Callithrix jacchus: one gene and its partner. The protein of the gene in region 2 purifies or fractionates together with the protein of the main gene of each other region. This does not show direct contact. Links are inferred from orthologs where the notes say so. Each region holds a gene or a part of one and is shown on either strand. Other genes may lie near its edges. The genes, in order: CSNK2A2 and NKAPD1.

Region 1 (3,910 bases), on a different chromosome or scaffold from region 2:
ACCTATACAGCTGCCCTAACACACAGAAACAGCTTTTCAATACCACATTCTTAGTCCACAGAACCTCTGCAAAAGGGCCACACTGGAAATCACATGTATACAAAAGTGCTTACATTACTCTTCCATCTTCTCAATCTCTCACTGAATGACACGTGCCCACATGAAATAATCTGGCAATAATGAGGACCCATCAAAGATTCTACCAATTACTTTTTACCACACCCTATAAAACATTATTAAAGCTACACAATTAATCTTTTACCTGAAGGAAAATTTAGCCGACCCTTCATGCTCATTAAAATCATCTTCATCAAAGAGATAACAAAAGCACAGCATTATCAAACTGAGATCGCTAAACCATATGTTAAGAGTTTTGTTCCAGTGATTACTTTAGAAATCATAAGTGAATTCTATATTTTTACTAGCTGATAAGCAACAAAGGCTCTCTGGCTTTCTAACAAGGCTTCTCAGCCCTACTAGTGCACTATATCCACGCCACCTGAAACTTTACTGCCAAAGAAGAAAAAACAAGTGATTATCCACTAAGGAATTTCCTTCAACTTGGGCTCGCAATACATCTCTGAAGTCACTCCAGTTTTGTCCAGCTTTCTTTATGGAATAAGGTAGATCACGCACCAAGAGTAACAAACAGTGCTCAAGGAGACCTGAAATTGAGAATGGCTTTTTGGTCTTTTGAATACCTATTTATTTTCTAACAAATGGAGCCCTTTTGGAATTTCTGCTTTAGGCACCTATAATTTACATTTTAGAACACCTTCCTGAACTTAAGAGTTGGGCTTAGATTTGTGACCAGTCTGCACATTTCCTTGAAAGTTCACAGGAAAATGGGGTGGAAAAAGAAGTAATGAAGGGTCATCAGAGAAGTAAAATTTGAGTGTGGGCTGGGCACAGTGGCTCATGCTTGTAACCCCAGCAACTTTGGGAAGCCTGCAAGGAGTCGTTCTGGAGGACTGCTTGAGCTCAGGAGTTTAAGACCAGCCTGGGCAACATGACCAGACCCTGTCTGTACAAAAAAATTTTTTTAAATAGCTGGGCATGATGGCATGCACCTGTAGTCCCAGCTACTTGGGAGGCTGAGAAGGGAGGATCACTTGAGCCCAGGAGTTGAAGGCTGCAGTGAACCATAATCTGCACTCCAGCCTGGGTTACAGAGTGAGACTCTGACTCTAAATAAGTAATTAAATTCAAGCTTGCACTGCCCATTCTAGAATGTGACTGGGGTAGCTTACATCCTTTTGCCCTGTGGGGGAACAAATGTTATTTATCACTCATAGGACACTCACCTTGAGGATTTTTACAACCACTCTCTCATTGTTGGTGATGTTAATGGCCTCAAATACTTCACTATATTTTCCCCGACCAAGTTTTCGAACCAGTTGGTAATCATCTTGATTACTGTAAAAGGTAAGAGACAGACACACATAAATGCCAGGACTGGGGGTTAGCCAAGCCTATGCCCACTATACACGTCATCCAGCCGCTTCCGCCAGGCAAACACTTGGAAGTGTCTACACATCACGTCACAACTCATTCCCTAAATGAAAGCCACGACGTAATCTTGGCTCCCTTCACTCTGCAGAGCTCCTAACCTAACTGGTCTCTCCTAACTTGGGAAGATGGGGTAGAAAGGCAACGCTCTGAGCCAATCCAGAGGGGCGAACAAAGCACCCGTCCTGAAGGCCTAGAGGGTGCCCCCTCTGCCCCGCGGCTTCACAGCACCTGCTTCCCGTTTCACACCCTGAAGGTAGACAATCCCTGTTTTAAAAATGTGGACGTCTTTAAGAAATTTCCTCCCACTACCTCATCTCAGAAAACCGAAAAGGCAGAGAATTTTAATAGCTCCAGAGGACAGCTGTTGACTTCCCACCCTAGTGGAAACCCAAAAGTGTGAGAAGGGCTGCTCCCTCACTTCCACCCAGCGCCGATCCGTGCACCCCACACTTCTCTCCGAGTAAAAAAATCATTCCTTGGGGGAAAGGGGTGCGCAAAGCGGGGAGAAAGGGACGAAACCGGGGTAAAGGGGAGGGAAGAGGAAGACGAGGACATGTGCGAGAGCGGGACCTCTGTCTCCAGCGGGGCCGCGGAGGGATCGGCGGGAGACACCACCCCGGCCGAGTGCGGGTCGCGGGGGGCGGCCGGGCGGAGACAGGGGTCAGCGGGCCCGGCGGGGGACGGCGGCGGCTTTACCCCCAGCTCGGGACGTGAGACTCGTAGTCCCAGTACTCGCGGCTCCTCAGGCTGTTCACCTCGGCGTAGACCCGGGCCCTGCTGCCCGCGGCCGGGCCGGGCATGGCGGGCGGGACCGGGGGGCGGCGCGGGGCGCAGAGGGTGGCGGCGGCGGCGCGGCGGAGGGCGCGGGGCGGCGGGCGGAGGAGGCGGCTGGCCGCCGGGCTCTGGAGAAGGAGGAGGAGGAGCGCGGTAGCGGGCGGCCGCGCCAGGCCGGGCCCGCGGGGGCGGGCGGGCTGGGGGCGCGGGGGGCGCCGGCCGAGCCGGCCCGGCCCTGGAGCGGCCGGCGGAGCGGCGGGGCGGGCGGCGCTCGCGCTCCGCGGCGGTCTCCGCTCGGCTCGCGGCCCCCAGGAGGCGGCGGCGGCGGCACCGGCAGCGGCAGCCACCGGCCGGGAAAGGGGCAGCGGCGGCAGCAGCGGAGAAGAAGGAGGAGAGGAGGAGGAGGCGGAGGAAACCCGGAAAAGGGGCCGCGCTCACGGGGAGCGGCCGCCGCCCGGCCTGGGGCCGCCCAGGCTCACAGCGCCCCCTGCAGCGCGGGGGGACCCGCCGGGCGGTGCCGACCCCGCCCCGGCCCCACCCCAGCACGCCCCGCCCCCTCCCCCGCGCCCTCCCCCACCTTGGCCCTCCCGCTGCCCCAGGCCGGGCTGTCCAAATCGCCTCACCCTCCGGCTGGCCTTACCTCACGCCACAGGAGCCCCCACTTCCACTGGCCGTTGCCTTAGAACCCTCCCCTTCGAGTCCCGACCCTTTCAAGATTGTCGGTGGAGACCCTGCCCCCAGCTCTGCAGTTGCCCAGCTTTTACCCCCACACACCTCCCATACCCTCTTCTCGCCCAAACTGTCAAGTCTCTCTCCAGGGCCTCGCTCAAACCTCAGAACCTCTCCCACCTCAATACTTCTCCCTTCCCCCGAGACGTACCCCTCCTTCCCCCTCTGGACCCTTCCCTGTTCCCGCAGACTCCTCAGTCCCCAAGACTTCCCACCCTCTTCATTCAGAGTCCTCCTCACAAAACCCTTATACATTTCCCCCAAAAGCCCCTCCAGAGCCTTCCCTGAGAACCCTCTGAATACCCACTTTGGTCACTTGGTTAAGCTGGAGTCGGCCAGGTTGTGCCACCGCAAAGTTACAATTTTTCCCTTTGTGATTAGTAAGTCGCTTGTGGGGAGAGACGTTGAGAGTCTGTAAATCTCCTGTTTTTGTTGAGGAGGAGGGAGAGCAGGAGAATGTAAATTTGACCTGAAGGGACAGACTGAGATTGGGTATGCACCGGGATGGGTGGCCAGCTGAGCTGGCCTGGCTTCCAGTGTTGCCTGCGGCCCTGGACACTCCTCTCTTTTGACATTCTAGGCCCTTCTTCTGACTTTCTTTCTCATCCAGCATCCTTTCGCGACACAACCTCTTCACCCAGTCCAGGTTGCTCTGATTCCAATCCCTTTTCACATTCTGTTTTCTGGATGAAACTCTGGGCCTTCCTCCTTGACAAAGCTAAGAGCACAGACTGTGGAGTCAGATCTATCCAGTACTGCTGCTTACAAGCTGTGTGACCTTGGGCCAATTATTCAACCTCTCTGTTTCACAGATTCTACAGCATAAAATCAGTAATAGCACCCACTTCACAGGGCTGCAAGGAGAACTAAACAAAATAAACCATGTGAAACACTT
Region 2 (3,910 bases):
AATAGCTAAGTGTAAGGTATTCCCTGGTTATTCTGGGATAATTTCAAGACCTCCCCATCCCTGGCACTAACTCAACTTACCAGAATCCTGGTCTGTAGGCAAAGCTGTGGTTCTGGGGCAGAACAGAGCTGTTTCCCTTCTTTCAGCTGCTGTTGAATAAACTTCTCATAGCCCTCAGGGTCACTTTCAGCTAGATCATCTAGGAGATTCCAAAACTGAGTAACTTGGGTGAGCAGACCCTTTGAGGATGTTTCCATAACTGATGAATGGTGAATAAGTTTCTTAAGCCTGTGGAAAGACATGACTTCAGGAAGAAAAATGTCTGTGGAACTATTGATTTATTTCTGCTTTGGGGAGGCGGAATGGGCAGGAATTGTTCTCGTGAAGTTAGCACTTAGCACCTGTGTCTAAAAGGTGGATCAGCACCACTTTATGTCTTCCTTATTCTTTAATTATCTAGTACCTCCTCCTATCTTCTCATGTTGTCCTCTCAGATAAGGCCTTACATTGGACCCTGACAAGTCAGAGTAATCATTTTAAGTCTGGGTTTCCTGATCTTCTTGTTTCAACACCTGACTCGTATCTCCCCAGTTCTGAAATTGCCACTTCTAATATTGCCAGTTCTGAAATCTTATGTTGGGTTAGGGCCACGTGAGACTTCTTTAATCGTCAGGATAGTTTGGTAATTCAAAGCATGGACTCGCGAGCCAGAATGCCTAGATTCCGGTCTTAGTTCTGTCTCTAGCTGTTGACCTTGAGCAATTATTAATATGTGTGTGTGTGTGTGTGTGTGTGTGTGCCTCTTTGTTCTGCTCAAAATGAAGATGATAATACCTATATCATAGGGTTATTGCGAGGATTAAGTCAGCTAATAGAGAGGCTGGGACCCTTTAGGTCTTCAGATAACTCTCCTTGGCCTCTTCTTCCATTAGAGAGGTCTCCCACAGCATCTTCACAATGAAGGAAAGAGGAGGTTTAGATTCTTCAACTACTATGTTAGGGTTACGCTAAATGGCAAACTTAACTAACGGGTAATCATTCCATAGGTCTGCAAACCCACCTCTTCTCTCAGTTCTAACGGGTAATCTGTAAGTTGGCAAACCCACCTCTTACTTCCTTGACAAACCGCAACGTCTGTTACCAGGGTAACCAGCCTTGGTACAACATCTAATTGGGTCCGGGGAGTTTCAGGCAGAAAAGTCTCTTTATATCTAGTTCCGGAATGTCTCCCTTCTGATGCCAAGCTAGCACCTTACAGGCAAGCACCCGCCACGCTTCTGCACCAATTAGTCTCTGGAGTGTCCCGAGAACCCTCCCTTGTGGGAGTCTCTGGGCCGCCTGTTGGTGGGAAGATTTCTCAGGAGAACGACTTCCGGCCTGAAAAGGAAGTCTCCTTTTTCTCCCAAATCGCTTCTTCCCCCCCTACCCCCCGCCACGCGAGGCTGCGGCGCACGGTATGGGTGTGTTTGTGTGTATTTGTGTGGGGAGGGCATTTGGAGGGAAGGTTACCGGGAGCTCCGAGGCCGCTGAGGGGCAGGGATCCCGATGACAAAGATGGGGATATTTCCTCTGTCTTCCATTTGGAAACCTCAACACCCGCTTCAGGCCCCCTAGATACTTCCTGGGGCCCAACCTAAGGCCGTAGTCATCCAAAGCGTTCCCATCTTTTCTGGGGAGTGAAACTTACCCCCGGGGTTCGTCCCAGAGGAGCGTGAGCGGGGAATGCCCGGGTCATCCCGGCCGTCCGAATTTCGCGCCGGCTCAGCATCCGGCTTCGGTCCGGGAGAGAGAATCTGCCTGTGGATCTGGGCTGAGGGCGGCAGAGGCCTGGGCCACAGGTGAGGGCAGAATAACCAGTGGGAAGGCTGCGTTTTCACGAAGGACTCGGGTGAAGCTGCAGAGCTGCCTTTGAGCCCTGACTCCTTGGCTTCCTGGGTCGGAGGAGATCTTGTAATGGAGTGGTTCTTCGTCTCACTAACAAGATGCCTGATTCCCTCAGGATCAAGGGGTGAGTGAGCGTTGGGATGGTTGCACAAAGCCCTGCTAGCCACACACGAAAATATTCTTGTCATCTAGTTTTTGGAAGCTTCCATACCAAGCAGGAAATAAAATGCCCCCAAATGGAGAAATTTGGGACATCTTTGCCTTTGATGTTTTGAGTCATTAGTTTCTGTTACTGTTGACATCTGCGGTTCCTGACACTCTCAAATTTACGTATTTGCTTCATTGCAAACTAATGTTGGGATTGGAGGTTTGATTTTTAATCTAGACATTGACCTACATCATTTGCCTGGGACTGTGTGGCTTGGGATATTACAGCTTTAAGGGACCTTCATCTACAAAATTGGGATGGAGATATTTGCCCCATACAAAATAGAGTTATGAGGATTAAATAAAATAGTGCTCATGAAAGCATTTATTTTTATGCAGTCTTGTGCATTTTCAAAGAACTTTAATGTACATTATCTTTTTTCATCTCACATTAGTGTGTTCAGGCATTTCCCTCTTTTAATAGTAAAGGGAAAACTTAGGATCTCTGACTTCTAGTTTTCAGTGATCTTTCCTTTACCTCATGCTTCTTTATAAAGTTTAAGAAAAGATGACATAATTAAAGAAATTATTACTAAACATTATTTGTTGATTCATTTCAGATTGAAGAATGTCCCGGATTCCACTGGGGAAAGTCCTCCTGAGGAATGTCATCCGGCACACAGATGCTCACAATAAGGTAGGAGGTACAACCTAGTTATTCCTCAACACTTACTGAAGGCAAACAGTGTGCCAAACATTATTTTGGCACAACTGGGAGATACAAAGAATATTCTTGTCATCTAGTTTTTGGAGACTTCTGTAAAAGTGGGAAATAAAATTATGAATAAAATAGATAATTATAATACAGTTTGATCAGTGATGTATAACAGAGATATTTGCAAAGTGCTTTGGAGCACTAAGGAGGAAATAATAAAATCTACCTTGGGGAATTAGAAAAGATTTTACAGAATGAGTGGTATTTGAGCTGCTTATATTTGAACTGGTTCTTGAATAGGTATAAGTTTAACAGGTATGAAAGATCATTCTGGATAGAGAGCATCATACATTAATATGGCAATGAGAAAGAGCATTAATCAGTTGAGGCATGGTAAGAAATTTATATATCCAGAAAGTAGGGAATGTAGGGGTTAGTAGCAGAAGATAAGGCCTCAGTGGTAATTAGAGTTGGATTGTGATGTTTGGAGCTAAGACTTTTTCCTCTAGGCAATAAAGAAGCCATCAAATGTTTTTGAACAGGGTGTGACATGATCATAGTTATATTTTAGAAAGGTGATTTGTCAGCTGGGTAAGGAATGAATCAGATGGAGAGAAACAATAGAAAGATTAATTAGGAGGTAATTACAGTAATACAGGTGAGAGATGATGAGTGTTTGCATGAAATTAGTGACAGCAGGGATGAAGAAGAGGAATTTAGGATAAATCCAAAGAACTTGATGGCTAATTAAACGATAATGATAAGAATGGAATCTAATTCAGCTGACATCGAATAACACAGGGTTTAGGGACATCCACCCCCCTCCACCCCCTCCCCCGGCATAGTCAAAAATCCATGTATAATTTTTTACTCCCTCAAAACTTAAGTGCTAATAGCCTACTACTTACTGACTGAAAGCCATAGCAATACCATAAACAGTGGATTAACACATGTTGTTGTTGTTGTTGTTGTTGAGACGGAGTTTCGCTCTTGTTGCCCAGGCTGGAGTGCAATGGTATGTTCTCAGCTCACCACAACCTCCATCTCCCAGGTTCAAGCGATTCTCCTGCCTCAGCCTCTGAGTAGCTGGGATTACAGGCATGCGCCACCGTGCCCAGCTAATTTTGTATTTCTAGTAGAGACAGGGTTTCTCCATGTTGATCA

What was found.
Region 1: the proteins of NKAPD1 (region 2) and CSNK2A2 purify together in Homo sapiens (affinity purification with mass spectrometry; 5 studies listed by BioGRID and IntAct, counting the BioPlex papers as one, with this or other methods). This does not show direct contact. The link is inferred for Callithrix jacchus from reciprocal best matches to the Homo sapiens genes NKAPD1 and CSNK2A2.

What each region holds. Positions count from the first base shown.
Region 1 is NC_133521.1:16,079,504-16,083,413, forward strand, and holds the start of CSNK2A2 (casein kinase II subunit alpha'), read right to left. Parts: upstream 2,683-3,910; 5' UTR 2,313-2,682; coding exon 2,209-2,312; intron 1,766-2,208; exon of another isoform or gene 1,592-1,765; intron 1,417-1,591; coding exon 1,305-1,416; intron 1-1,304.
Region 2 is NC_133511.1:11,776,560-11,780,469, forward strand, and holds the start of NKAPD1 (uncharacterized protein NKAPD1), read left to right. Parts: upstream 1-1,359; 5' UTR 1,360-1,454; exon of another isoform or gene 1,455-2,008; intron 2,009-2,651; 5' UTR 2,652-2,659; coding exon 2,660-2,728; intron 2,729-3,910. Other genes in the region: PIH1D2 (PIH1 domain-containing protein 2), read right to left, coding at 81-257.